Linked DNA regions of Struthio camelus. The protein of the gene in region 3 interacts with the protein of the main gene of each other region in a biochemical or structural test. Links are inferred from orthologs where the notes say so. Each region holds a gene or a part of one and is shown on either strand. Other genes may lie near its edges. The genes, in order: ESR1, NR2F1, SP1 and CCNA2.

Region 1 (7,364 bases), on a different chromosome or scaffold from region 3:
CCGGCAAAATCTCTAGGCATATTAACTTTTATGAAATTAGGTATTTCCCACCTCTCATAATAAAATATAATAAGCAAACAAATTTTCCTCTAATTTTCAAAAGAGATAAGGGGAAAGAAAATGGAAATTTTCCCAGGGATCAAATACAGGAAATTTCAGCCCAAAAGGTAAAGGGTTCCTAAATGAACAGCAGCTGATGGAAAGATGTTATAGCAGATCTAAAGATCTAATAGCAAATCTTAATTAGAGCAGGCATCACAATTCCCAGCTAAACAATAGTGATACTACCCCACACAAGCCAAGGAATTAATAAGGAAAAACTACATTTTCTTGTTAACACAAGTCTTTCTCAGCTGAAACTTAAATCAAGATCAAATTTGATTACCTTGCCTTTTGTATTACTATCACAATTTATTTAATTTCATGTTAATTTTGTAGCTACTTCATGTTAAATAGTTTAGAGAAGTCGAGGGAAAACAGAACAGTAGTAACGAATTCTTTTCACTAATTGGAATGGGATCGCCATGAACAAGAAAAAAGAAAAGGGAAGATCAAGAGAGATGGAAAAGGTATAGACTATATGCTTGGTAGGAGAAATTAAGAGAAAAACAAAAGAGACTTTCCCTCGCTCTTCTACACTCCCTCTCTCGACTTTTCATTGAAATATGACCTCATGAAAACCCTGAACATGTTAGGGCGTGAGAGGAAGCTATCAGCAGATCACAGAAAGCATTTTGTTTGACAGAAAGCAAGTGGCTAGCATCAAGCATTCTAAACATGAAACTTTTACTATTTAAATAACATCAAAGAAATTTCAAAGTAAAAGCTGATTTTGTGTCAAACATCAAAACATTTTATCATGCAAATGACAAAGTAAAGTTCCTAATGTTTTGTAATGCTTTTTTCATGTCCTGGTTTTAAATGGAAAAATTTGGTGAAACACAGGTGAATTTGCTAAACGCTTTTTGAGAAGCCCAATTTTTTTCTGCCAGAAATTTAATCCTGCTCTAAATGTGCTAGCTAGCTAGTTCTAGATACAGTGTGATTGCAAATCAGGCTCAGAATTAAAGCATTTCCTACTACAGCATGCATACTATTCCAGTGTAATGTAACATAGCTTAGAATAATGTATTGTAGGAAGATGATACTTGCAGACGGTGATCCCCTGGTACAGTAGAAAATAAATAGAAACTATTCCAGCAATAAAGCATCAAATTAGTACTAAGGCACAAAACTCAGAGTCCGTATTTAGAAAAGGAAAATTGTCACTAGTCATTAGTATTGGCAGTCAGGTCTAAAGAAATTTCTGTTACTGCTATCATTATTTAACTTAGGCTCTCCAGGATCAATATTTTGAGGACAGGATGTATTTTCAATTAAAAACAGTCTGAGCCTCCAAAAATATTTGATTAAAATAAATACACCAATAAGTAGCATAACCTTCAACATACAGCCAAAAAAAAAAGCTTTCAATTTAATTATTTAGATTATCACAGAATTATGGCCATATATAAAACATTCCTTTAGCTATTTACTAGCTGTGCAGGAGTCACCACCTCCTTTTCTTTCTTTCCTAGCGTTGCAGGCAGTGCTTATCAGCTCAGCCACCAGGACACACAGTAGGACAGGCCTTTGGTCTCATCTGTGTGGGTCCTGGCAATGGTCCTGCTGAGGCCAGATCCTGTGTCTCCTTCACCAGCATGGAGGCAGGTACTGCCTCTCCCACTTTGCATCCAAACCCTTTTCAGATGTATTATTTTTATATTACAGAAAGTGAGAGTTAAGGGGGAAGGGAAGGGCCCCAGAAAAAGAATGAGAGAATCCATGGGAAAAAAGTGATACATAGGTTTGCCATGGAGCAACTGAATAAGCAGTGGAAAAGAAGAGCTTTCCTACCTCTAGCTTACCTCTCCTTCCAAAACTTTATTCACATTTGTTGAATTTAAATTCGGCTGATATCGGTTAATAATAAATAAGTTTAGCTGATATTTGGCTGGTTTTGCCACTCCCTAATTACATCCTCTTCAAAAGGACAGGATGAATTCTAGCATACACTCACGCACATATATGCAAGACATAGACTAATTCTACCACTTGCACATACACACCCACAAGTGCCTATGTGAGTATTTTTTGTATATACAAAAGCCCCATGAACATTTTGGTTCACTTTGCTGTTGTCTCTGTTCCAAGTCTTGTTTTATGCTCCTTCTCCAGGGGAAAAAACAAAACAAAACAAAACAACAACCCACTCCTCCAGCCGCCCATAGTGATTCCTCTGACTTCTGTGAGGAGAATTGTAAGAGAGAACCATCACCCAGAAATACAGCTGAGGCAAGAACCCTTCTCCTCCATGGGATGAGGAGTCACATGGGCATGAGCCAGGAACCAGTAAACATCAGGATTTATGAATCTTCAGAAGTAATGTGTTGCTCACTTCATCTATACCACATCTGTTCAGTAGTACAGGCTACCAAGAAAATAAATAATAAAGCTCAAAATCTCTACCTTGATCTTCCAGAGGCTCATTACTCTGAGTCCTGGATATCAAACAACATCTAAATCTTTTGGACACAGGTGAAAAAAAGTTAAATTGCGCACGAGACCAAGTTATTTTGTAGCCAATCCAAGACCGCAGAATGAGCTGCTAAGTAGGAATTCGCTCTTCACTGCTTAGGCCAAAACCCTATTTATAATGATCAGATCCGGACAGTATACTGGCAGTCAGATGATGCCATGAAAATATTTCTACCATATCCTTCCTCCTGACAGACCGAAGCTATCATAGCTACTGAAGCTATGAAGATTAGACAAAATTGACTGCCTATAGCTGAGCTTCCCCTACACGCACCTGACTGCCTGCTTCCCAAGAAGCAGGCTTCCGGCTGAACACAAGTGATGTGTCATGCTGTGCTGATCCTTGCATCACCTCGAGCCACCAGTGGAAGCAGCGCTGGAGAGCAAATCATGCCCTCCACACGTAGAGGAAAAACGACCACCAGGTAGAAAGTGTGTCAGGACATGCTGGGTCAGACAGCCATCTGCCTCACCCTACAGGCTGCCTCCAACACTGTCTGAAAGCAGATGTCTAGGGAAGAGTAAGAACAGGCAAGTGTATGAGTCACTTCTCCCAGTACTCACCCAACCTCCAACTATTTCCTGTTACGGAGACTTCCTGAGCCAGATGCAACTTCTGCAAACCATGTATGGGGTCATGTGTATGCCACTGAGAAGGTTATTTGAGGAAAAAGGAGCAAGGACCTCCCTCTCAGGTCAGTACACTGTATTTTCAGTAAACACACTCTTGAAAAAAATTACATAAAGCCAAAACCTGTGGCAATAAAGCAATACAAAGGATAAATAAAACAAGGATCTTCTGTCCTGTTCTCAGCCATACTTCTTAGAATGATTTAGCACTATCCATCAGCAAACTTATCCTTAACCACATTCTTTATATTTTAATATCCCTTTAAACCATTTTTTTAGACATTAGTATATTCTGTTTCTTTCTAAATTCTAGGGAGCCCTCATCCAACTTATGAACTTCTCCCCAGTAAAAATCTGAGCAGAAAAAAACAGATTTTTTTATGAGTCTTCAAAAAAATCAACAGGAACGTATTGACAAATTTATAAGGAGAGGCAGTTTGATTTCTAAATCCATGTGAAGGAAGCAGTCACTGCAATGAAACAATGAATGCTTCTTTAACATTCAAGCCAAGAACATTCCTTGAATCTTCTGCCCTAAGTAGGCATCACTTCCTGGAAGAGAAGCAAACTTTGTTGTTGATTTGAACTCGTGTCTGAAATAACGATGAACCGAAGGAAAAAAAAAAAAAGTGCATTAAGCTTATAACAAGTAGTTGTAACCTACTAATAAGTTAATTCACGCTACATGAACAGAACAGCCCCTTTGTTCTGGCTGGTTTCACATCTCTGTCCCAGCAACAATCTGACTAGGTTACTGAGTGATAAACTGATGCAATGCCGCACAATTCTGGCAAATTTACTCAATCAGCAGCACCTGTGACATACTTATCTAGATACAACAATCTATCAGAGGTAGTTAATCCTTTGATAGGGTGCCACTTTGACCATAACTCTGTCCTTTCATTCAAATCTTTGGGGAAAAATGTTAGTTATCTGCTTTTAGCACCTAGCCCTGTACCAGAATTGCCTCAAGTCTTCTCAGAAACACAGGCGATGGAGCTCTGCAGACTCAAGGGTAAGCATGTCGGCTGGGGTGCAGGGGAAGGGAGAGGAAACAAAAGAGGCAAGACAAAGAGAGAGGGGTTGAGGTAGATCCTTAAAAAGCTAAACCTGCCTCTCCTTGACTGCCAACATAGCAAGGTGGGCCTGGTGAGCACTGGCTGCAAACTCTTTCTCCAGCAACAACCTCTGGCCACCCCTGGGGGGAACAGTGGCAGTGGCAGCAGCAGCAGTAGCAGCAGCAACTCTCCTGCCTTTCCAGAGCTCTAGCACCAGCAAAATAAGCAGTGCCATCCACGCTTGCCCACACAAGTCTGCACTGAAATCTAATGGCTAAATTCTACCTAAAAAGTAGAAAAGGCCTAAAAGTTAAATCATAATAAAACTAAGAAAAAGGAGAAAAGGGAACTGTTAAGGGTGCCCTAACTGGGAATGTAGTAAATCTATAAAGTGTGCCCTTCCTGGCTGAAGTCCAGCGCAGAGACGAGGGACTGCAGTAACTGGGACACATACACAGAGCTCCTGCTTTGTTTTAGACAAACTGTTACTCTACAGATAGCAAGCTGCCAAACTTTATGGTCAAACTTTATGAGCTGTCAAACTTGTTACATAAAGAATTCGGAAATACTGTATTTGAAATCTTAGTCAGTATAGCTGTAATGGGCTCTTTCTCTAATACTATAATAATTTATATACCGCATGGGCCAAAGAGCTAAATCAAGAGCAAGATGAATGTATCTCAGCAAGCAGAGGTTCTTATGCTCTGTTTCCCTTCCAGCATATTTCTTACCTCAGACTGCTACTTCAAACAAAGTCCTCATTCTTCCTGTTCCCAATCATTTTTTTTCCCCAAAACTTCCGTTCTACATGATTGCCAGTCCCAAATATCCACAAATTAGGTCTTATTCGAAAAAAGTTATGATCTGGTTTGGTTTGATTTGGGTTTTTAACCTTATCATCACTTTTTTGTTACCTTTTGGATAAAATTTTCCAAATTTTCTCTGCATCTGTGAAGAGTAGAAGCTCACAAAAAAGAGAGAGAGAGAGAGAGAGGAGAGTGATGTAATCACATAACTCTGACTTTTTTTTACTAAAAAGTGCCCATATTGCATAATCTGCAATACAAGCACGAGCGCATTCTCCATGCCTGTCACTTGCCAGATGTCCACCCTCGAGGACCTCCTCCCCACAGCATCTCCTTCTCCAGCCCGTTCCCGCTTCCCAAACGTCACGTCTGAAGCCCATTTGCTGTCCCCAACCTCTTGGGGCCCCTTGTTGGCCCTGGATGGCATTGCCAGATCCTCCCTGCCCTCTGCCACCCCTGGCCCCCAGCATGGCCAAGGATGAGGCCTTTCCTGGGGGCACTAACAAAGTGCGAGATTGTTGCCACCACACGAACCTGACCGGGATGAGTGTTGGCTGGCTGCAGCACAAGGTTGTCCGGTCCGCTCTGTCCTCCCCCTGGGGCCCCGCGGCTCTGTGCCCCACGGCTCCGTGCCGCCTTCCCGCCGCTGCAGGCGCGGGCTGGGCCTGGTCCTGCCACCTGCCACACACCCGGCTCAGGCCACACTCCACCATCTGTCTTCTGGTTTTGCTCTGCTTGCCATCTTCTGTCTGTGGAGCCTCTATGCCCCAGGGCACCTCTGAGCAGCTGGCCCAGGGCAATTGTACCCAGGATGCCCACCAGAAGCTGGCTCTGAATTAATATGGACTGGATGGGAGGCAGGGAGGAGGCCCGCAAGCCTCAAATCCTACAGTAGAGCCCTGGGGGCTCTACTGGCCTTACCGGCCCTGCATGGCCTCCCAGGCCTGCCCTCACCCCAGCCCCAGGCCCAGGAGCCCATTTAGCTCAGCCAGGGGCCGTCAGTCCATGCCACAGCAGCTGTAGGTTTGTCTGTCTCAAGCCCAGCCTCTGGCCCTGCCTCCTGGATGGGCACCTCGCAGCCGACCTGTAGCCTTGTCTCCAGCCCCGTCCCAGCCCTGTCTCCCTTTGCTCCTGACTGGACCTTGGATCTGGCCAACCCCCTCGCTGAGCCTGGGGCTGTCTCCAGACCCTGCTGGCAGCATCCAGCTCTGCTTGCCCTGTTTTGAGTGCTGCAGGGCGCACTCCTGGGCGAGGGCACGGCTGCGCTGGGGTCACCATCAGGTCCCGGCTCCCTGCCCTTCGGGAGCAGCCAGCCCTCACTACACCTAGACATCTGTATCCTGGTCAGGTGAAAATCTAGAGGAGAGCTGCTGTATCCTGGCTGCTTCCTGCGTGCACCCATTGCTACCTCTCAAGCTTTTCATAACTTCAGCTTCTGGAGATTTCCAGTCTTGATACTTCACTGCCTGTGCTTCAGGGTGCTCCTTGCAAAGGCCTGGTGGTAAATCCACTCCTAATTTTTTGTTTGTCATATGTAGGAGTGATCTTTTCGTCCCTAAGACTAATGTTCTGGGGGGAAACCTTTGTGTGATATTTAAGACAATGAAGAAAAGAGATAGATGCCAGATACAGACATGCAGACTGACAAACAGATAGACTGATCGGGAAACTAGTGAAAGTACAAGACCATTCTCGCTGCTGAACCATTCAGGCAACCGCTGTCACATTTTGATTAATATCACAGAGGAGAGGGAATTTCAAGGCAGGCTCCAAAGCCTCCAAAGAGTACCCCAAAGAGTAATTTTTTGGATATCATTGAGAAGAAGGAATTCCTCCTGTGTGGGAGGGACTCCTCAAGTTGGGGAAGAAAACACAAAACATCATCTGGTTTGAAAATCTAATAAGTAAGCGGTACAGTCTAGTATCACAGCCTGGTTAAAATTAGGGATTAAGATTCAAAGTTAAACTGCACATGCCAGTCAGCATGGATGTCCAAACCAACACTGACGTCCAGGCCAGAGCAACATGAAGGATGAGAGCTTTGTCCACAGTGATCAAAAAAGGAAGTAAGAGAGCACGGAGAAGGAAGAGGAAACAGAAGAAGAATAAAAGATGATGAAACGAGTTCTGTTTTAGTTCTGTTTAATCTGAGCTGATGGTCAAACACCCATGAGAAATATGCCAAGATTGGATAAAACCTGAAAGGAGAAAAAGCTGAAGTATAAAAAATCAGTGCTCCTCCCCTTCCTTCCACTCTTACCAGGATTACTGGAATATAGTTAGAAAGAGGAAA
Region 2 (6,993 bases), on a different chromosome or scaffold from region 3:
ACAAGACAAATCCGCCCCCCGGCCCCCTCCCCTCTCGCAACAAAAGGCAACCCCGCACATAAAAAAATAAAATCAAAGAAATCCTCCGGGTGGTAAGAAAGTGGGGTTAAAAATCACAGCCAGCTGTTAAAAATATAGCCAAGCTCTGTTGTGTATTCCAGCCGATTGCCCTGGTAGCACTGAGATTTACAAGTGAACTGCTGCGTTGCTTTTCTTTCCTTTTTCAAATCATAAAAAATAAATGCGTCCATATTCTTCAAAAATATCACATCATTACCCTTAAAACTAGACCAGGTCACAGCCCCCCAGCTTCCCACTGCTAACTTTATTACACAGAACAAGCTTTCCATACAGGACCCCCCTCCCCCGCCCAGCAAAGTTCGCCCTGCTAAAAGGAAGAGAAAGATTAAATATTGTCAAGGGAAGGGGGAAAATAAAACAAAAAGGTCCGAACTTACAATAGCCAAACATTCGTGGAAAAAAAAGGGGACGGTGTAATTAATATCTTTGGTGCGCTGTTGCCACTGCAAAAGCCTGCAGTCAGCGTTGCACAGTGAATGCACAAGCTTGCAACTGCAAAAACACTGGATTCATTAACCATCTCCACACAGAGCGTAAGCATGCCTCGAGTCCCGAAAGCTGACCAAAGTTTTTTTTAGTGTGTGTGTGTGTGTGTGTGTGTGTGTGTGTGTGTGTGTGTGTATGTGTGTGTGTGTGTGTGTTTCACTTCATCAGTGCCAGCGTTTTAAACCACATGCCATGTAAACAAAGGTAACTTAAGGAGAAGATACGGCTACTCAGGCTTATTTCTATATACACACACACACACACACACACGTACACACATGCATACACACACACACACACACACAGGCACACAGATAATTCATCTTTCCAGCATGCCACATTTTCTCAACTTTCTCTTTTATTCCAGCGTAGCAGAGCACGTATGTTCCCCACCGAGCCCTCCACGTCTCGCGGGCTGCACCTTCCTCTTTCTGCCCTCCAGCCCACCTCTGCCTCTTGAATCTGCTTTTAAACTTGGCAGTTATTTTTCAATTAACTGCAAGCACAATTCTAAGTTTGTTGGTGGTGGTTTTTTTTTTCCAGACGCCTACCAACAACCCCTGAAGCTACCAATGAAGTCGTCATATTTGTGAGCTCTTTCAGATCTGGAGCAACTCCATTTCTTTTCTTGTGGCATATAAAATATAATTTTAAAACCAATTAAGGCAGTAGTAATCCCCACTCCGCAAAATCGACTAGGTCGCTGTGACTCTAAGATATCTTTAACGATAGTCACAGGATAAACTTTAACTGTAAACCGAGAAATACTTTTCGAGGAGAAAAGAGGGCAGGAAATCTTCCTACGCGAAAATAAGCCTTAATGCGAGGAAAACCGCAGCAACTCTTAGAAAGGAGAAGAAAAATAAATAAATAAAGGAGCACTTGGAAATGGTGAGGAGCCCACTGCCAGATGCGGACTATGAATTCTGCTAAAATGAGAAGGATCGGTAAATAGGTTATAAATCGCAATTTGTATGCAGGCTTTAAGGAGAGGGTGGAGTTTGATGAAGAAATAAAATGAGCAGCGTGCTAAAAAAATGACAGAAGTACAGAAACCCGGTTCAGTCACAAACTTTCCTTTGAACGCATGGAGTGAAAACAAGGCCAAATCTCACACAGAAGCACACTCCAGGGCACTGGGAAGCACAGGGAAGCAGAGATACAGTAGCACATTTCCCCCTCTTTTTTTTTCTTTCCTACTTACACGTCTTTCATCTTTCTTTCGGGAAAGATGAGGCTGGGAATGGATCTACCGAGAAGTGTTGTGGGTTTAAAGAGAAATGATGGGGCGGGAGGGGGGGAAGGAAGCTGAATGGGAGCACATCTCGTACAGAGATGCATCTCCCCCCACCTCCCCCCCCAGTCTCATGCCAACAATAGACAAAACCACATCCACACACACACACACACACACACACACACACACGGAGATAGCGGCTAAATGATAAATATTTAGTGAGCGATCATAATAATAAATTCTCAGCACAATGAGCAGGGAAGGGAAGAGTGTGGCGGTGCTGGGGAAGGGGGTGGGGAGGAGCAGGAGGAGGGCAGGAGGCACAAACCAAAAAGCAAAAGAAAACACCACCAACCACCATCAACAATAACAACAAAACCTGGTGCAAAGCTGCCAGATGGAGTGCAGGCACAGGGAGAGATTGACATGTGCATGTAAATACAGAGAGAGACCTAGATCGCCACGGAGAGCTGTAAAAATATATATATGTGTGTGTGTGTGTGTGTGTATATATATATGTATATATATGTGCTTGTGTGTGTGTACGTATACACACACACACACACACTCACACACTCACTCTCACACACTCGCACATACACACACACACACACACACACACACATATAGCCATAGGGAGAGAGAGCGATAGTATAGTAGGGAAGAAATATTCACCTTCCCGCCTCATGCCCACTTTGAGGCACTTCTTGAGGCGGCAGTACTGGCACTGGTTGCGGTGGTGCTGGTCGATGGGACAGTTCCTGTTGGCACGGCATGTGTAAGTTAAGTTCCTGCGGACGCTCCTCTTGAAGAAACTTTTGCAGCCCTCGCAGGTGAACTGGCCGTAGTGCTTGCCGCTGGATTTGTCCCCGCACACCACGCACTCGATGTGCTGCTGGCTCTGGCCCGAGCCCTGCTGGCCCGGGCCCTTGTCCCCGGCCGTGCCCGGCGTGGAGGGGGGTCCCGGCTGGCTGGGGGTCTGCGGGGTGTGCGGGGCGGCCGAGCCCCCTTGCTGCTGGGGCGGCTGCTCCCGGGCCGGCTGCGCTGCGGGGTTGGGGCCGCTCGGGGTGCCCCCGGCCACGTCTTCCTGCGGATCTCGCCAGCTGCTAACTACCATTGCCATATCTCGGGCCCAAAAAAGTGCTGGGGAGCGGCGCTTCTCGCTGCGGGCTGCCGGGGAGAGAGGCGGGGGGCGGGGGGGAGGCGGGCGGCCGGGCGCCGGGGGCGAGCGGGGAGCGAGGGGACCGTGCCTGCCGCCTGCCGCCGCCTCGGCTGCCGCCGCCGCCGCCGCCGCCGCCGCCGCTGCCCTTGTGCCGCCGCCGCTGCCTGCCGGGGCCGCTCCTGCCGTTTTCTTTATTTTATTTATTTTTTCCGCGAGCCCCCCTCCTCTCGCTCGCTCGCTGGCTAATTTTTTTAGGGAGGGGGAGGGGGAGATGGAGGGCTTTTTTCGCGCTCCCCCCCCTCTTAAAATACCCCCGTCTGGCTATTTCCCCCCGTCTCGCTCTCGCTCTCTCCTCTTCTTCTTTCCCTCCCCCCCCCACCACCACCACTTCAAGTTGCAAAATCAGAAACGGCAAATAAGGCTGTCGGGAGAGGCATTCAGGAGAGTAACACACCGGACACACACACACACACACACACCCGCGCGGCGCGCACACACACACACACACACGCACACGCACACGCGGTCCGAGCGCTAGGAGTGCAGAGGATGTGCAGACATAGAGGAAGCCGGAGCGCGGAGGAGGAGGAGGAGGAAGAGGAGGAGGTCGGGGCCGCCGCTCGCCGCCGCTCGCCGCCGGGGCCCGGCCGCCGCCGCCGCTGCTGCCGCGGAGGCTCCCGCCGCCGCCGCCGCCGCCGCCGCCGCTGCCGCCGCCGCCGCCGCTGCGGGCTCTCGGGGCGCCGGGCTGGCGAGGCGGGCGCTGGAGGCACGGAGAGGAGCCGGCTGCCGGCGATCAGGGCATGGAGGTGTCCGGGGGCCAGGTCCAGGGCAGGGCGCCGTCAGCCATTCAGGGCGGCAGTGCCGGGGAGCGCGGTCGAGGCGGGCTGGGAGATGAGACAGTTTGATTTTGTGTTGGTGGCGGTGGTGGTGGAGGAGGTTGCCGGTCGCTTCTCTTTCTCTCGCGCTCTCTCTCTCTCTCTCGCTCTCTGTCTCTCTTGCCTTTTTTTTTTTTAAAGAAAAAAATACAAAAAAAAATATCGGATGTGACTAAATTCGCAGAGGAGACGAATTCACGGCGAAGTGTAAAAATAGAGAATGGGAATAATAATGACACACGCAGGAAAAAGAGAGATCCAAAGTAGGTCGAATAAATAAATCCTCTTCTTTTCCTCTTTCTTGTCCCTTCCTTCTTCTTCTGTGAGAACACACGATGCTGGTTGCAAAAAAATCAGTGGAAATCGCCCCAAAAAAGGTTCTTTTTTTTTGTTTGTTTGTCTAAAAAAAGTATTTCGGGTAAAAACTCATCAGCCAGAAGCAAAACCCTCCCCCAAAATAAAAAAATAGACAAGAACGGTCAAAATAATAATGGTATTAAGATGTGAACGCGTTCTCTCTCTCTCTCTCCGGGCTTTTTTTCCCCCTGTCTCTCTCTCTCTTTCTGCTTTTTTTCTCCTTTTCTTTCTTTCTTTTTTTTTTTAGTTTCACCTCTCTCTTCTTCTCTTCTCCTGCAGGAATGAAGCGAAAGACACAAGGAGGAAGGGTGGAAAAAAGAAGAAAAGGAAGGAGAAGAGGGAGATGAAGGGAAAAAAAACAACTAATAGAATATGCAAGAAAGGAGAGAGAGCGAGAGAGAGAGGGAGAGAGAGAGAGAGAGGGAGAGAGAGAGAGAGAGAGAGAGAGAGAGAGACCCAAAAAATGAATGCGTTTAAACGGGAAGCCTAGCAGAGCAATGTTTCCGAAAGGGGGATCTGCGCGAATGTCTGTATATAGTGAACTTTGACACTACTATTGAAACTGACACGTTTCTATGGAGATCGCTGCCTTATATGGAGCTCATGTCAAGGAGCCAAGAGAAGGGCTGCTGGCAACTGATAATCAAAGGCGACTGACTGGTCAGAGCCCTGAATTGGGGGGAGAGAAAATGGGAGGCTAAGGTTAGCCAAGCCTCCTTCACTCCATTGGTTACCCCCCCCCCGGTCTTTTTTTTTTTTTTTTTATAATTCTCTGCTACCTACTGACTGGGATGGGGAAGGGAGGGGAGGAGAGGGGGGGGAGTGAGGGAGGGAGAGGGGGAGCGAGGGAGGGAGGGAGGGAGAGGGGATTCTTCTGACAAGCACAATTTACATTGAGATCGCCCTGCGCTGCTATTTACTTTGAGACCTGATTAGTATGGGTCGTCTATGGTCTCCCTCGCTCGCTCGCTCGCTCTCACACACCCATGCACACACATCAAAAGAGGAGGATGCATTGCGATAGGCGGAGAGGGGAATTAAAAGGGAACGATTTGGGCTCCCCGTGAAAAGTTTTTCATATTTTAAAATGGGATTTCTGTGTCTGTTTTCAATTGCAAAAACCAGGCGAGGGATTTTAATGATGGAGAAGAAAATATGCTTTATGCAGGAAGGGGTATATGTGTATGTGCGTGTGCGTGTGCGTGTGCACAGACACATTCACGTACATATTTACATCTGCATATACTCCTGTCCCACTTTGGGCTATTTTTGCTGCTGGTCTGTCTTGCTCTCATTCCTCACCGAATATGTCCACCCTCCTTTTATTATACTGCCCATGGCCCCGGTGGGGTTCACAGTGTCATGAAATGGGATCAGAAATCAACACCCGTCTTTGCTCGGGGAAAAGCATTTTTGGGGGTGGGGGGTGAGGTGGGGGAGGGAAGCGGCCGGACCAAACCCGAATGCCTGTGCCCGCCGTGCCCCCCCGTGTCACGCCCGTGTCTCCTCTTACAGAGCGCGGCTGGCCGCCAGGAGAGCCCCGCCGGCGAGTAATAAAAGCCCAAAAGTAAGTTCTGCGCGCGCCGCCTGCGCGGATCGATGCCGGTGAAGCGCAGTCCCCGGCGGCGGGGGTTGCGCGCCCGCGCAGGCCGGCGCGACGCGGCGCGGCGGAGGGGCGGGAGCGGGGGGCGGGCGGGCGGGCACGGCGCCCCCTCCGCCGTGCTGCGCCGCGCCGCGCCGCGCCGGGGCCGCGCTGCGCCGCGCTGCGCGCCCCGCTCCGCCCGGCGCGGCCCCGGCGCGGCGGTGGCGGCGTGGCGCAGCGGAATCGCTGGATCCGGCTGCCATCTAGCGGACAGGCACCCAGCCGAGCCGCTGCGCCCGCCGCAGCCACCGGCTCCCGCTCCCCCTCCTCCGCCGCGCACAAAGCCTCTGCCTTTTCTGAAGCAGTAGGAAGCCACAAAATCTTTTTATGGCTTTTTATCCCCCCTTCTTTTTTTCTTTTTTCTTCTTCTTCTTCCTTTTTTTTTTAAGTGACTGCACTGGGGAAAAGAACCCCCTTCTTTCTAGTTGCGTACCTCTCCTAGCCTCCTTTCTCACAAGCCTTCCTTCCCTGAAACCTCCCCCTTTCTGCGAGAGGTTTAAAATTCGCTTTGGGTCAGAAGACTGTTTGTGATAAAGAAGAAAAAAACTGCAAAGAAAAAGAGAGAGAGAGAGAGAGATGAGGGAGATTACCCTCCTCTTAGCTCCCATAAAAGTTTATAATCAGATTGGAAGCCGGGGGAAAAAACTGCAGGGGGAAAGGGGATGAAATATATGACAAAAGTTTTGTTGTTATTTTTTTTGTAAAGAGATGTTGCTTTCATTAAAAAAAAAAAGCCCTCAACTTTGACGTATCATGATCACAATTTTATTTTTGTGTCAGCTCTGAAATCTGAGACTGAGAGCCGGCTGGAAAGGAGAATCCTTCATCATTTCTGAGATCAGACTAAACGCTTGATTTTGTCCTGAAATAATGAAGAGATTTTCAATGAGCCCCTTGGCCAAGCGGTCTCTATTGTATATTGCATTGATAAAAAGGATGTTATTGACTATGCAACAGTAGGCTCCTTTCCTCTCTCTCCTTCTTCCCAAATAAACTCTCGGTCCTGTCTCTTGGTCAGTGAGAAGGTGAAACGAATAAGATTAAATCAGACAAAAAAGCGAGCTCCGTATGTATATCATCTAGATTTTACTCCCCAGACTGTGAAGAGACAGGGAGTAAAAGAGGCAGAGCAAGACACAGAGAGAGAGGGAGA
Region 3 (7,085 bases):
GTTGTTGGCTAAGCCCACACCCTGGATGGGGACAGCCTGCTGCAGCAGGTTTGGCATGGCGATGAGGTTACCCGTCCCGGCTCGGCTAGTAATGATCTGCTGGTTCGTGCCGGGGATGATCTGCAGCTGGCCAGAGGCATCCTGCTGCACATTGACTTGGGCAGGGGTGGTGGCAAACTGGAGCTGCTGCCCATCAATGGTCTGGAACTGGGGAATGACCTGGTACTGGATATTTGGGATAACACCTGGCAGGCCCGTCAGCACCTGCTGGTTCTGCAGATTGGAGGCGGCCGTGACCACGTATTGCCCCGCGCTCACGGGCCGGCTTTTTGATGAGTCGCTGCCATTGCTGCCGTTGGCGCCCTGCTCCTTGGAAGGAGTCGGTGTGCTGGAGCCAGTGGATATGATCTGCCAACCGTTGGCGGATTGGGCAATCTGAGCAGCAGCGGCCGTGAGGTCCAGCTCGCCGCTCCCGCCTTGCTGGCCCTGGGAACTGTTGGAGTTCTCGTTGGGAGACTCGATCCTGCTGCAGGTGGCTGCCAGCAGAGCCAGCGGGGAAGGCTGGGACTCCTGGGAAGGAGAGGAGGAGTTAAGGACACAGGAGGCGGCCCAGTGGGCAGGCCGAAAAAAAAAGAGAAGCCAGGGAGGAGCGTACTTGGAAAAGATAAACACTCCTTCCTGAGAAAACCCACCCACAGCCGGAAAAATACAACTGCCAGACACAGGGCTGTCAGGCCGGGACAAACTGAACCCACAGTGAAAAACCCTCCGGTGGGGAGGAAAGGGGAGGGAGTTTGCATGTAAAACCCAAAGAGACACATTTCTTCCACTCCAAAGCGAGTGAATCTCCTTGTAGCACTACAGGAGAACAACTCCTACAGCTGTTTCTGGGCACCCAGATCAGGGAAAGGGCTGGTCAGGGCCGTGGCAGCTACTTGGAACCAGGGTGTACAGCCTATTTTCAAGAGCACCATGCACAACTCGGGGAGGAGGGGAAACATGCTCTGGGCTGGCACTCCCTGCTGAACACGTTCCAACAGGGTGTTTGGCAGCGCGACGCTCCCCCGTCACTCACTCGCCCTCTCTTCCTTTCCCTGGGAAGAGGAGCCTGTGCAGCGCTTGGCTGGGCCAAACAAACACCTCAGCGCAGCTCCCCGCCCCGGCCCTGGACTTTGCTACGAGGTCGGCAAGTCCCCAGGGTGAGCGGAGCCAGGAAGCTGCCAGGTTCGGGCTGTTCCTTGCACCGCCTCTTTCCCTGCACTCACCTGGCCCTCCCCACCACCTCCGCTGCTATTACTGCTGGCATCTCCTTCGCCCTTCTCGGGCTTCACTGCAGCCATTTCCTCGGGACTCTCTTGGTCTGTGTGGGCCGGAAACAACAGTCGGAGTTAAAATACATTTCTGGGCAGAGGGATTGGGGGGGGGGGGAAGAGGAACACAAGGACTTGAGAGGAGTTATGGGGCTGGAAAAGCAGGGGATTGGGGCAGGGAGAGGTGAAGGCACTCTGGTAGGCACTTTTGGGAGGACCGAGTGCTGCTCCGGCACCAGCGAGAAGGGGCTGGGAAGCAGAGGGAGCTGCCAAAGGGGAGTTGGCACGGAGACAGGCGGAGGAGGGACAGGCCGCGCTCCAGGCCTCAGCTCCTCCCTGCCTGCTCGGGACACTCCCTGGCCCCTCGGTTCTCCTCGGGCCTCCCCTTTCCCTTTCTCCGCTAGCCTGGGAGCACACCTCCCGCTCAGGCCCTCCTTGGCTGGCCCCGGCACCCCGCGGATCCACCCCCTGAGGCTTTCTCCTTGCCCTGCCCAGGGGTTTCCCCTGGCAGATCCAGCCCACTGGCTTCCCCAGGGATCCCCGTCTGGAGAGGCCCCATCCAGGCTAGGATTCCCCATCTGCGCTCCCCGTGATCCCACTGCCCGGTGTCTCTGTTCCCCCTCAAATCCGTATCCTCCTGGATCCCCCCCCAGCCCCTCACAATCCTCCACGAAACCTTCCTTCCCTGGCAAAACCCCTGACCCCCAAAGAACTGGGGCCTGTGCCCCCTACTCCTGCCCCTCGAGCACCCCTTGCCAGGCCCCCTGCAGACCTCCCTCCAGGTCCCCCCAGGTCATTCGTAGGGCCTTCCTCCCCTCTCCGACAGCTCCTTCCCCCAAAACGCTCTAATTCGGCTTCTCCCCTCGCCCCGTGGGCCTTCTCCCCACGGCTCTCCCCCACCCCATGGATCCCCCCCTAGCCCACGGTCCCCTCCCCACAGCTCTCCCTCACCCCTCGGCGGGCTCCTTCCCCCCACCCCACATGCATCCGCCTGCCTAAGGCTCCCCCCTCACCCGGGGATACCCCTTCATCGGTGTGTTCCCCTCTCCCTGCTCCACCCCCGGCATCTCCCCGCATAAACACCCCCTCCCCGGTGCTTCCCCCCCCCCCCCCGCCCGGGCCCACGCCTCCAACCGGGGCGCGCCCAGGCCCGGCTCCCCCCCACCCCGTGACCCTCTCCTCACACCGGGCCCTCCCCGCGCCTTCCCCCCCCCCCCCCACCGCGCCGGCCGCGGCGGCGGCGGCCCCCCCCTCCCGCGGCGGCGGGGCGGAGGGAGGGCACGGCTGAACGGCCGCCGGCCCCCGCCCGGCCTCCCTCGCCGCGGGTCCCTCCCCCGAGGCCTTCCCCCCTCCCCCGGGTCCCTCCCCCGGCAGGTCCCCCCGGCGCGGCGCGGCGGGGCCCGGCCCGGCGCGGCCCGGCCCGGCGCGGGGCGGGGCCGCCGCTGGCCCCTCCGAGCGGGCGGGCGTGTGTGTGTGTGTGGTGTGTCCGCGCGCCCCTCGCCCCCCCCCCCCCGCCGGCGCGGTGGGCCCGTCCTTACCGCTCATGGTGGCCGGGGGGGGGGGCGAGCCCAAGCGGCGGCGGGGCGGGGGGGAGGAGGGGCGGGCGCGCCCGGCTCGCTGACGAGGCGGCCTAACCCCGCCGGTGACCGCCAAGGGGCTGCCGAGGGAGGGAGCCGCGCGCCGCGGCCCCGGCCCCGCGGCCCGCCCCCCGCCGCGGGGCCCGCCAATGGGGCGCCGCCGCGGGCGGGCGAGTGGCGGGCGGCTCGGCCAATGGGGCGCGAGGGCGGGCCGGCGGCGGGGGGAGGGGGGGCCGCGCCGCACCGCCCCCGCGACCCCGCCCCGTGGGGGAAGGGGGGCGCCGCGGGCGGCGGCCAATGGGGGCGCGGGAGGGCGCTGGCGGCCGGGGGAGGGGAAGGGGGGGGCTGGCGTGAGGGCCGGCCAATCAGCGCCGGCGCGGGCTCCCAGGGAGACCCCGTATGGGAGCGGCCAAGGCGGCGTGAACCGCGGCGGGATGGGCGCGTGCCACGGCCAATGGGCGGCGGTCCCGCGCGGGAGGCGGGGCGGAGGCATGACTGGCGTGAGGACCCGCCAACTGGCCTCCGGGCAGCCGCGCTGCCCGCGCGGCTGGAGAAGGCGGGCTCGGAAATTGACGGCTGACTGTCCAATCCGAGGCCGGATGGGTCGGCAGGAACGGGGCTGCTCGCCAATGAGAACGGCGATCCGTCTCAAACTGACCAATGGGCGCCGGGTGGGGGCGGGGCGAACGGCCGGGCTGCGCCCTTGGAGGGACGGCTTGGCGGCGCTGGGAATGTGGCGGAAAAGGCGCCATTTTGGCTCTGGCTCCGCCCCGACCCCAGCCGCCGCCTTGTCCCGAGCGGGGAGCGCAGGGGCCCGAGCTGCCGCCTCCGGGGCGGCCAGGCTGGCCGGGGCCGTGTCGCGACAGTGCCACCGTTCCCTCTAGTCCCATCCTCCTCCCGTCACAACGCCGCACGCGAACCCTCCTCGCAGCGTGTCGGGGGAGGGGGGGGCTGTCATGGCGGCAGGCCCTCGACTCCCTGTTGCGACGTGGCCTGTCACGGCAGCGCCTCAGCCGGGTGCCGTCCCCACAGCCCCGTTGTGACAGGCCGTCACTGTCGCGGTGCCTCATCCTCTCCCTTCCACGGGTGCCAGCTGCCCTGTGGCAGCACCGTGTTAGGGGGCCAAAAGGTGCTTTGAGGGGTGGTGGTGGGGGGGTGTCATTTTTTCCACAAAAGCCCCCAGATTGTGCCAGGTTTATAAAAAGGGAGAGAGAGCCACGGGGCGAGCGGTGACAGGGCCCAGCTCGGGGTCCCGCAAGGAGTAACTGCCCCGAAACGAGGCGGTTTTCCTCCCGGCCGGGTCCTCGAAGGGCCGGGACGTTCCTGGCCCTCGCGCAGAGGCCGCGGGGAAGCGGCGCGCGGAGTCGCCGTCCGGCCTCCGCCTCCCGCCGCCCGGCCCCTCGCATCCCGCCTGGCTCGGCCCCCCGCTTCCCTTTGATGCGCCCCGCCGGCGAGGCGGGACGCCGGGGCTGGCGGCGGCGTGAGCGGGGCGTCCTGCCGCCATCCCGGCGGGACGGAGCGCCGCTTCCCCGCTCCCCGCGCGCTGCCCGTGTTGGTTTTGGAGGCTCCGCTCCGATCGAGGAGTCAGAGGTCGCAGTTTCGGGCAAATCCTTTGCGCGGTGCCCCTGCTGTCCTTCCAAATGCTGTGTTAAGTGACCTGGTTTTTTTTTTTGGTTTTGTTTTGTTTTGGTTTTTTTTGCATCGTTCCCCTCTTTCAGCAGCTGGAAAATTCTGCCGTCGCTAACCATGACCTCACCCCGCTTCCAGCGGAACTGTTTTATTTTTGCTTTCCCCCTCCCGGCACTCGGCCCGCGGCAGCCTGCCCCCCCCGCCAGCAGATTGCAAGCCCCTGAGTAATTAAAATAACACCGAGGGGTTTTTTTTGTTTTTTTCGAGAAGAAACGGACGGAGCGCAGCGAAACAAAACAAACCCATGCCCTCCCTGGGCTCGGCGTCGGTGGAACATCTTCCGGCCCTAATCCCGGCTCCGGCATCTCTCATGTAACAAATCCGCCGGCCTTTTCCCCCAAAACCCTGGCAGCGGAGAGCAATACGGAGCTGGGCGGAAGTCGGACCCGCGGGCAGCCGAGGACAGGAGCATTGGCCCGGCTGTGGCGGCGTTCGGTTGCTTTGGGAAGGCCGAGCAGGGTTGGAAACGCTAAACGGCTTCGTCTTCCCTGTAAAAAAGCCCCAGCTGAAAGCGAAAGAGCAGCCGAAATCGCGGGAGCGTTGGCAGCCTGCTTTTTCCAACCCGCTTCCCCTCCCTTTGCCTCCCAGCCGGCGCGCCGGCCCGCATGGCTGCCGACCGACCCCAGCCCTCGCCCGGCCAGCTCGGGAGACGCCGGGACGTTTCGGAGAGGTTTTCGGAGGGGTGCTAGCGCGTCCCGGGGGGCGTCTGATTCCCGGGAGCCGGGCTGCCGCCGTGAGCCCGTTAACTCCACATCTCCGCGGAAAGGGAGGATGTGGTCGGAGCAGAGCGGCCGGGATGGCCCAGCTCGCCCGTGCCTCGGTTTCCCCCCGCGAGCCGGGCGAAGCCGTGGCTCCCTACGCTGGCCAAGGGTCTTTCAAACCCCGTCAGCCCTTTTTGTCCCCCTCGCCTCGGGCCGATTCGGCCGCAAAGCCCCCAGCGTGGGACCTGCCCCCCTTTCCCCCCCCCCCTGCTCGGGGGGGCTGTCCCTGCGGTGCGCACCTCCGGAGCCGGGCGGTCGCTTTGGTGTCGTCGTCCCCCCCCCCCCAATCCCTTGCCGGCAGGGAAGAGGCCGGAGTTTCACCGCAAATCCCGCTGCGGCCTTGGAAGTCGCCGCCGCAGCTGCCGCGGGGCCGGGGAGGAGGCCGGGCCGCCCCCCCCCTCAACTCCCCCCCCCCCCCGCCAGCGCCGAGCAAACACGGCTTTTCCTTTCATCCGGGCCCGCGTCCCGCGGACTGCGGCGTCAGCAGCTCGTGGGCCAGCAGCTGGGACCGGCGGGGGCCCGCGGCCGCCCCCCCGTCCCCCCCCAGCCCCTGCAGCGGTGGCACCGGGACAGGCCGGGTTGGGGGCTGCGCCGAGCTGCTTGGTTGGGGGGGGGGGAGACACGTGGGGACGCTGAGCGGCGGACGCCGGAGAGCTTAGCGGGGCCCGGCCCTGTGCCTCAGTTTCCCCATCGGCACGGCACTGGCTGGTGGGTACCGGGGAGGTGACATGGCTCCTTTTTCCCCAGCCTTTCCGGAGCAGAATACCACCCCCCCCCGGCTGGAATCGCCATCCATCCTCGTTTCTCAGCCCCCCCCCTCCAAAATCAGGTTCCAAATCCCTGCTTGCTCCCGTCGCTTGCTCCCCCCGGGTGGGCCGGGAGAGGGCCCGGCCCCGCGGCCGACAGAGCTTTGGGGCTTTATCTCCTCCCCGCGCGGCCCGGCTGGGGGCCGCCGGCCCCCGGAGCTGAGTCCTGGCCAGCTCGGCACGCGCCGCTCTTTGTGCTGGACGTCGGGGCGAAGGCCCTCCCCCTTAGCACCCCTTTGCTGCCCATTAAGCCCCCCCCATCACGCCTCGTTAGGAACCCCTTCCCCATTAGCAGCCCAGGACCCCCATTCCCTTGCGCTCCCCCTCTTGCCCTCACTGTTCCCCATTCCCCCATTGTTCCCCATTCCCCCATTGTTCCCCACCAGCCCCACTGTTCCCCATTCCACCCATTCCCCCCGTGTTCCCCAATCCCCTATTCTTCCCCATTCCCCCCATTATCCCTAGTGTTCCCTATTACCTCCATTCCCCCTTTGCTCCCCATTCCCCCCATTGTTCCCCATTCCCCCCAGTGTTCCCCATTCCCCCATTGTCCCCCATTCCCAACATTCCCTTCATTGTTCCCCATTGGCCCCACTGTTCCCCGTTCCCCCATTGCTTCCTGTTCCTCCATTGTTCCCCATTACCCCATTCTTCCTAGTATTCCCCATTACTCTCATTACCCCTACTGTTCCCCATTCCCCCAGTGTTCTCCCAGTGTTCCCCATTCCCCCCAGTGTTCCCCCATTTCCCCCCAGTGTTCCCCCAGTGTTTCCCCTTTTCCCCCCAGTGTTCCCCATTCCCCCCAGTGTTCCCACATTCCCCCCAGTGTTCTCCCAGTGTTCCCTGTTCCCCCAGTGTTCCCCCATTTCCCCCTAGTGTTCCCCATTCCCCTGTTCCCCCGTTGTTCCCCATTCCCCCAGTGTTCTCCCAGTGTTCCCCATT
Region 4 (7,494 bases), on a different chromosome or scaffold from region 3:
AAACTGTTTCAATACCACGTTTTTATCTTTAGAGGTAAGTAAGATCTAGAGGGAAGAGTCCAGTCACGTCTGACCTTCGCCTAGCGAGACAACTGCTTCCATTTAGCGTTTCTGGCACCTGCCACACCTGGCATCTTTGCGTTTAAGAAAGCTTAACTTTATCCAGATAAGCCCGAGATGTTTGCTCTGCTTTGCTTCGAAAAAATAGCTTCTGGATTTAAAGCTCGATGCTTGTTCCCCAAAAAACAAGTGAGTGTCCTTTCTAGCCAAACTGAACCACTGAGTGGACAAGTCCACCCAGACAAGATACTAGCTATTCAAGACGTTAGTTTTCGGTGACCAATACGTTTATGCATTGATCCCTATTCAGTTTCCACAGGAAATTTTAACATGGAGACTTAAGAAACGATGTCCCTTTTTGGGGAGGAGAGTGTTAATTTTAGGTGGGAAAGCATCAGGGAAAACATCCAGCACGGAAAAAGACCCTGAATTTATCAATCTCAGCCTGCTTTGAGTAAGCATTCATGCTTGAGCCAGGTCAGGTGCCAGAGTAGCTCCACTACTAAGTAGCAGACAAAAGTGTTAGTTTCCAATGGCAGAGCCCCACCACTGGAGGAGCACATGGCACAGCAGGCGCGCTCTCCAGAAGTCTCCTCAGGAGTCACGTTACTGATTTAAGAAAGACTGGGAGACAGAAAAGCCTGGACTGAAGTATCCTTTACCATTTTTCCTTTTCTATTGGGAATAGAAAACAGAGCTTGTAAGGTGCCTTAATAAGATAACTTTCCAGTTACGCAGATTCAACTATTAATTCTTACTTACCATTGATAAGCTCTCAACTTTAGCACTTGTCTGCTCATGTAGGAAATACTGGGTAAGGAATTGGTTGATCGTTGGAGCTGCCAAGTCAAATGACAAAACCTTCAAAATTAAGTGCTCCATCCTTAGAACTTGCTTCTTGGTATAGGTGTCATCTGTGATGTAGACAAACTCTGCCACTTCAGGAGGGTAGATTTCTTCAAACTTCCTGCCATAAAGAACAGTTATAAGCAAGTAATTGCGTAGCAGAGAACCAAGTAACCAGCAACAGTTAGTGAAAGACAAGTAGCTGTATACTGTAACTCAATAAGTTTGCTGCATCCAGTTCACTAGGTCTTGGATCTGCAGACTCTGAAGTTATGGAGAGCTACGCTCAGCAATTTTACCATTAAGTACTTTGGGACTCAAGAGTTACTGAAGTTCCTGAAAGTGTTAGGAGACTAACAGTTGCGAGCAAAATTTCCTTTTCACGTTCTTTCCCCCAAATACGTTTGAAAAGTCTTTTGCTGCCGCAACTAGAAATAACGAATCCTCACATTAGGCCAATCCACAAACACAGCCTAGAACCTCGCTTGCAGAGTTTGACACAGGCTACCAAGCTCTTAGGGGGATAACTGCTGCTTCTTACCTAGTGTGAAACCATCCCTAGTCAGTCTGCCTACAGACAACAAAACATGATAGCCACAAGAGAAGATTTCCATCTGTATGAGACCAGCAGGTGGAATTTTAAATTAAGCAGTTTCACTTACGATGCAAGCAACATAGCTGCAGTACCCACAAGCTGCAGTTTTCCTCTTAGAACAGACATTGAAGAAAGAAACCGATCAATGTAATTTACAGCTAAGTGCAGGGTTTCATTCTGTAATTTGTATTCTTCTCCAACTTCCACCAGCCAGTCCACAAGAATAGCCCGCATGTTGTTTGTGATATCAGGTTGCTTCTTCATGTAACCCATTTTAGGCTTGCATTTCACCTGTAAGTTTTGATAACATACAAGGTTTAGTTTGCATTAAGTGCTTGCAGGGAAGCAGGCATTTCAACTCTATTTATCGTAGTTAAAGGGTTTTAAGCAGGGCAGAAGCAGCCAGCAACGGCAAACGTAGGATCAGCAAGCACTTTTTCTGTAGTCTTGCTTTCCCGCTTAGGCCGCAGCGCGTAGCACAGTCACAGGACGCAAGAGCAGTCCTGCGTTCGCAGCAGCGGACACAGCACCCATCTTCTCCCTCTCCCTTTCTAGCAGCCTTCTGCTTTGGCCACCGTAGCAGTTAAGTAGCGCTCCGGTACGTTTCTCGGCCCGGGCTTTCTCCCGCCCTTAGCCCTGCTCGAACCGCGGCAGCTCGCAGCTTCTCACCTCCATTTCCCTGAGGTACGTGTGGATATCGCCGACGTAGTCCGGCACGTTGTTGACGTTGGGGCTCCTCTCTCCCGCGTCGGAGGTTATCGAGATGTCCATAACGCTGGGCGAATCTGCGGCGGGGCACAACGGCCGCGTGAGCAGCGGCACGGGCGGCCGCGGCCCGCCGGCGGCCTCGGGGCAGCGCCCGGCCGCCCCGCCGCGACGCGCCCGGCACTCACCGCAGCTCAGCTCCAGGCTGCTGCCCAGCGGCGCCAACGGCCGCCGCTCCCCCAGGCCGCTCACGGCCGCCCGCAGCCCCAGCGCCGCCGCCGCCGCCGCCTCCTCCTCCTTCTCGGCCGCCGCCGCCCCGCGTCGCCGCCGCCGCTGCTGCTCCCCGTCGGGCTCGTCCACATGGATGGCGAAGGCCGGCTGGCCGCCGCCGCCCGGCCGCCCCGGTGCCGCCGCCGCTGCATGGCCCTCGCCACCACCGCTCCGCGCCGCCTGCGAGGGGGCGGCCCGTCAGCACCGCCCGGCCCGGCCCGGCCCCCGCTGACAGCCGCCCTGACAGCTCCCGCCGCGCCAAGATGGCCACGGCCGGCGCCCCCGGCCCGCGCGCATCGCCCCGCCCCCCCGCCGCCGCGCGCCCCCGCCGCCGCCCCGCGCGCGCGCCCCCGCCCGCCCCGCACTTGCCTGCGGCGGGGGCCCGGCCCGCGCCGGGGGGCCCCGCAGCAGCCCCAGCGCCACGCGGGCGGCGGCGGCGGAGGAGGAGGGCGGCGGCGGCGGCGCTGCTTTGCCGCCACCGCCGGGCGGGACGTTCTCCTGGTTCTCCTGCTCCGCGAACATCATCGCGCCGCCGGGCCGGGGCCGGGGCCGGGCGGCCCCGCTGCCGGCGGAGGGAGGGGAGGGCAGGGCAGGGCACGGGCGCGACGCGTGCCGGCTCCCGGGGCGGCCGAGTGTCGCGCGGCGGCGCCGCTCTCGCCGTTCAAGTAGCCCGCGACTATTGAACCGGCCAATGAGGAGCGCGCGCGGGCGGCGGCGCGTCACGCGGCCTACGGGCAGCGGCAGGGGCCAAGGGAGAACGGGGAGAGGCGCGCTGCGGAGCGCAGGCGTGGCCTGCGGCGAGAGGGGGCGTGGCTTGGGGAGCGGGAGGAAGCGAGCATGCGCAGTGGGCGGCGGGCAGGGAGTCCCGCCCCCCCCCGGGTCCCGCGCCAGGGAAGCAGCCCAGCACTGGTGCTTGAACTGTTTTTCAATCTTTGCCTTCCTACTTAATGTCATGACTTATTCTTCTTTATTTTCGTTGCTCAGGAAATAAGAACACACACACACACACACCTCTATCCAGAGGCTGTTTAATGTCTTTTAAGTTTAAATTAAAAAGTCAGATGCTAAAGAGCACACTGATTTTTCAGTAAAGAGTACTGGAAAGTAACTTGGAATGAGTTACAAAATGAAGAATTGAGGCAAATGAGACGCATGGAGGAAATTTAATGCAATCCATTCTAAACAAGAGTTCACATGCAGTTTTTAAAGTAATCGTGTAAATCTAAAATTCAGAGATAATTCTCCCCACTTTCATGTGTGTCAGTTACATACAATGTGCTGATAGCATTGAAGCACTTGCTCAGTACCGCTAACAAATAATATAGCTACACATCAAACAGCTGATTTTCTCCTAACTGTCCTAAGTCCATGAAAACAAATTTCCTCATACATTCTTCCAAATGGAGAATATTCCTATTTATAGTCTCTAACAATACTGAAAACGTACTCCTGCAAAAAGGCTATTCAGTATCTGGTTCTCTAGTTTTCCTTAGCTATGAAGAACATTTTGTGTATATATAAATGACGTGTGCATTTAACACGTACAACAGTTTATATGAACTAAAATGGACCAGTATTCAATATGGTAATAAGTAAGAATAAAATGAAAGCGTAAAAGGAATAATAAAAACATTTCTCAAAAAATAATGTATTCGACTCCATAGTGGACTGCCTTGGTTGAAAAAATAAAAATAAAAAAAAATAAATCACTCCGCCTTTTCCTTGTTGCTTCCAATTCAGGCTGCAGCCTCAAAAAAAGCAATTAGTCCATCTTGATCACAGCCATCCAGAATTTCCAGAAGAAGAGGAACTTTCGTTTTCACATTGGTGCCTTTAAATTTAAATTTATCTATGAAGAGATCTGTGATCATACCTACAAAATAAAGTTCCAAGATTTTTATTTGCCTTGTTTTCACCATGAGATATCTCTACTATTAACTCTTTGCTATGTATAGACTATTCTAGTCGATTTTGGTTTTAGACACGAGACCGTTTTTAAACTTCATGTTTTAAACAATGATTTTCTTTTGAATAAACCCAAAGCACTCTCCTGTTAGCCCAGATTCCAGCTTCATTCCAAAGCAGGTATTTCTGCCTTAGAATTACCCATACTTGAAACACTCCGGAGAAAGGAACTGTCAAAGGGTATGAAAGGAGAACTGGGTTTATAATGGATACATTATCAAATTAGCACCTGGCAGAGATTACTTGAGCTAAAGGCTATATGGGGAGCACCAGAAAAGTTAACAGAATTTCCTTCACTTAATTACATCAAAGATTCTCCCTTCCCATCCCATGTGTATTTTTCTGCTTTTCTGTTAACTTGTAAAAGTCTTTTTCCTGTGGCAGAACTTAATCACTCATTCAACTTAAATATATTCTTAAACGCCATCCTGAATTAGAATACATTTCTGCATCATATGCATAAAGACAAGGATCATCCGAATATGAAAAGCTGCGTAATAGAAAATACAAAAGTAACTTGCTAATAATCCTGTATTTGCATTTGCAGCACTAAGCTTATGATAGTAAGACAATTTTAGAAATTCTCAGGCAAATAATTCTTGAGGACCTTTGGAGAGTTATTTAAATTTGTAGTAGCAGAACCAGTTTTGGTGTGTGCTAAGTTCTACTACCTTACCTTTAACTTTGGAAGGTTATGATCAAAAATACTGTGTAGCCATCCAGCCTAGCTGTATGAGCAGATGGACATATATGGCTAGACACCTCTAGGTCTCCCGAAGCTATTTAAAAGTACCCCCTTATCATATTATTTCAATGCTACAGATACTGACTTCCTAACTATTTCAGTCACGTCCAATGTGTTCTCTGAACATTAATTTGCATTTAGAAAAAAAAGTTGGGTTAATCAACACACCATAAAGTCTCTCGAGATGTGCAGGTTGTTTCTTGTATTCCTCAAGCAGCTGATCTGCCTCTTCTAAAATGCTACGGTACTTAGGTAGCAGGAAGTCCACATTTCCTTCATGAACCTGTAATTCCTCAAAGACATTTTAAATTGTGAAAATTAGAGACTGGTACGTACTAAACAAACATAAAAGCAACAAAAAAAAAAAATCAGCTTGGATCTGACAGGAGGAAATACCTCAGGGACAATGCCCTTCACCATAACTCTTGCTAGTTTAGAAGTGCCTTATTTTCTAGGTCTTCTAATGAAATGCCAGATGTTACTTGTCACTTCATACATTAGATTCTCACAATGCTACGTGTTACATCTTCGAGCTCCGAGTGCTGCCAGAACAGGATCACTCTGCAGCTCAGCCTCTACAGAATCAAGCCTAACGAAGGCCCAAAGCCTTCACCACGCTTTTACAGAATAAACACCTTTAACAGAATAAGTATATTTACAGAGTAAGTACATTCTTTTACAGAATAAGTAAATTCCTAGGAAGTGTAGCACACATTAAAAGTCTAAAGGTAAAAGTAAATCCCAAAAGTACTGCTGAACTCCTAACAGCAAAAGGTTTTAAAGACATCTTCTAAACGCCTCAGTCTACTATTAGATCAAATCAACATAGATCCTTTTATCCCATACAGAAAGACTGGTTTTTTTCTAGACTGAAGGTAATTATGCATTTGAGTCTCCAGGAATAATAGCTTTTATCAGTCGCCAGATTATTTCACTGCCTCTTAATAAATAAATTATTTAGATACCAGTGACACAAAGTTTAAGGTTTGCTAACAAAAAAAGCCTAAAAGCAAGCACAAAACACTTTCTCCAAGAGCTGCAACATCATTATTTATGCAGAAACATATCACGCAGTAAGAATAAATTATTATTTTGTTATCTCTCAGGTTTGTTTAATCAAGCTTAAGTAAAATACTTTTACTGATAATAAAATAAAAATTTACAATATATTGTGTGGTCACCGGTAGTAAAGTTTTTCCACTAACCAAAGAGTTCAGACAACTAGTCCTTTGGTGGAGGCCAGCGCAAGAAGGAATCAGCTGCCCATGTCTACTATCTGATTTAAACATCCTCAACAACAATCAGTAATTCTATGTTTTTCACTGTTATATACTACAAATAGGAGTTTTACTTTAAAATGTTTGTCTCCTAGACGACTACTACACATGTATTGGGAACAGAAAAAGATTAGACAACATTATAACACATGCTGACTTGAGCCTTACAGCTTGATATCTGCCAACATAACCCACACAAAAATCCTTCAGAGGAGAATACTTACTTTCAAAGCATCTATTAAGTGAACCTTCTTGGCCAACAGCTGCTGATACTCTAATTTGGGGTGGATGAGCTTTAATGTATACCTCACAGATTCTTCATTTATGTCTAGTAGGGCATCAAAAAACCACCAAAAACAACAAGCAAATGAGTAATGTTTCATTTAAAAGAATATAAAATGAAGTCAAAGACAATGAAACAGTAAGGAAGTTTTACCATATGATATATTAAGATTAATCTTCCTTTTAGTAGCCTCTTTGGAAAGCACATCTTTTAAGATGGATATGGTAGAAATGTTGTCAGACTTAAAAAATCCCTCACCTTTTCTATTAAAAAAAAAAAAAAAGAAAGAAAGAAAACTTTTAAACAAGCAGACCAACCTGAAACAGATGCATGCATTCGATACTTCCCCATTCTAAAATACAAGACCTATAAATTAACACCTAAATCAGAGAAAGCAACCTCTACATAGGTCATGGTGATTCTTCATATATTGGGTGGCTGCATACACCCATGTTATTCCCTCCTTTCCTAGTCACAGCGTAACCGTGTCAGAGAACGGAATTTGTTCTAGTAACTAAGACAAAGCGTTATCTGCAAGCATACACAGATAAACCAATTTTATCTTATTTGTAGCATGGCATTAAGATTACACAAGTAAGATTTTGGATGGTATTTTATATACCAACATTCTTCTTAAGTTTATCATTCTAAGACCTGGAAGGCAAACAGGAAGGCAAGCTGCAATACCAGAATGGAGAAAAAACAGGCCCTCCACCACAAGAACCCCAACAACTTTCTAGTTGTTAGA

What was found.
Region 1: the proteins of SP1 (region 3) and ESR1 form a complex in vitro, tested with the Homo sapiens proteins (6 studies listed by BioGRID and IntAct). The link is inferred for Struthio camelus from reciprocal best matches to the Homo sapiens genes SP1 and ESR1.
Region 2: the proteins of SP1 (region 3) and NR2F1 form a complex in vitro, tested with the Homo sapiens proteins (2 studies listed by BioGRID). The link is inferred for Struthio camelus from reciprocal best matches to the Homo sapiens genes SP1 and NR2F1.
Region 4: the proteins of SP1 (region 3) and CCNA2 form a complex in vitro, tested with the Homo sapiens proteins (2 studies listed by BioGRID). The link is inferred for Struthio camelus from reciprocal best matches to the Homo sapiens genes SP1 and CCNA2.

Annotation. Positions count from the first base shown.
Region 1 is NC_090944.1:81,057,823-81,065,186, forward strand, and holds the start of ESR1 (estrogen receptor), read right to left. Parts: upstream 3,005-7,364; 5' UTR 2,908-3,004; coding exon 2,852-2,907; intron 1-2,851.
Region 2 is NC_090982.1:54,170,506-54,177,498, forward strand, and holds the start of NR2F1 (COUP transcription factor 1), read right to left. Parts: upstream 3,007-6,993; 5' UTR 2,928-3,006; coding exon 2,480-2,927; intron 1-2,479. UniProt on the Homo sapiens protein: Coup (chicken ovalbumin upstream promoter) transcription factor binds to the ovalbumin promoter and, in conjunction with another protein (S300-II) stimulates initiation of transcription. Binds to both direct repeats and palindromes of the 5'-AGGTCA-3' motif.
Region 3 is NC_090969.1:3,370,644-3,377,728, forward strand, and holds the start of SP1 (transcription factor Sp1), read right to left. Parts: upstream 3,014-7,085; 5' UTR 2,856-3,013; coding exon 2,849-2,855; intron 2,376-2,848; exon of another isoform or gene 2,324-2,375; intron 1,361-2,323; coding exon 1,266-1,360; intron 571-1,265; coding exon 1-570. UniProt on the Homo sapiens protein: Transcription factor that can activate or repress transcription in response to physiological and pathological stimuli.
Region 4 is NC_090945.1:19,618,662-19,626,155, reverse strand, and holds the start of CCNA2 (cyclin-A2), read right to left. Parts: upstream 3,002-7,494; coding exon 2,846-3,001; intron 2,657-2,845; coding exon 2,395-2,656; intron 2,287-2,394; coding exon 2,171-2,286; intron 1,793-2,170; coding exon 1,569-1,792; intron 1,028-1,568; coding exon 823-1,027; intron 1-822. Other genes in the region: BBS7 (Bardet-Biedl syndrome 7 protein), read right to left, coding at 4,213-4,349, 5,355-5,478, 6,688-6,791, 6,900-7,009. UniProt on the Homo sapiens protein: Cyclin which controls both the G1/S and the G2/M transition phases of the cell cycle. Functions through the formation of specific serine/threonine protein kinase holoenzyme complexes with the cyclin-dependent protein kinases CDK1 or CDK2.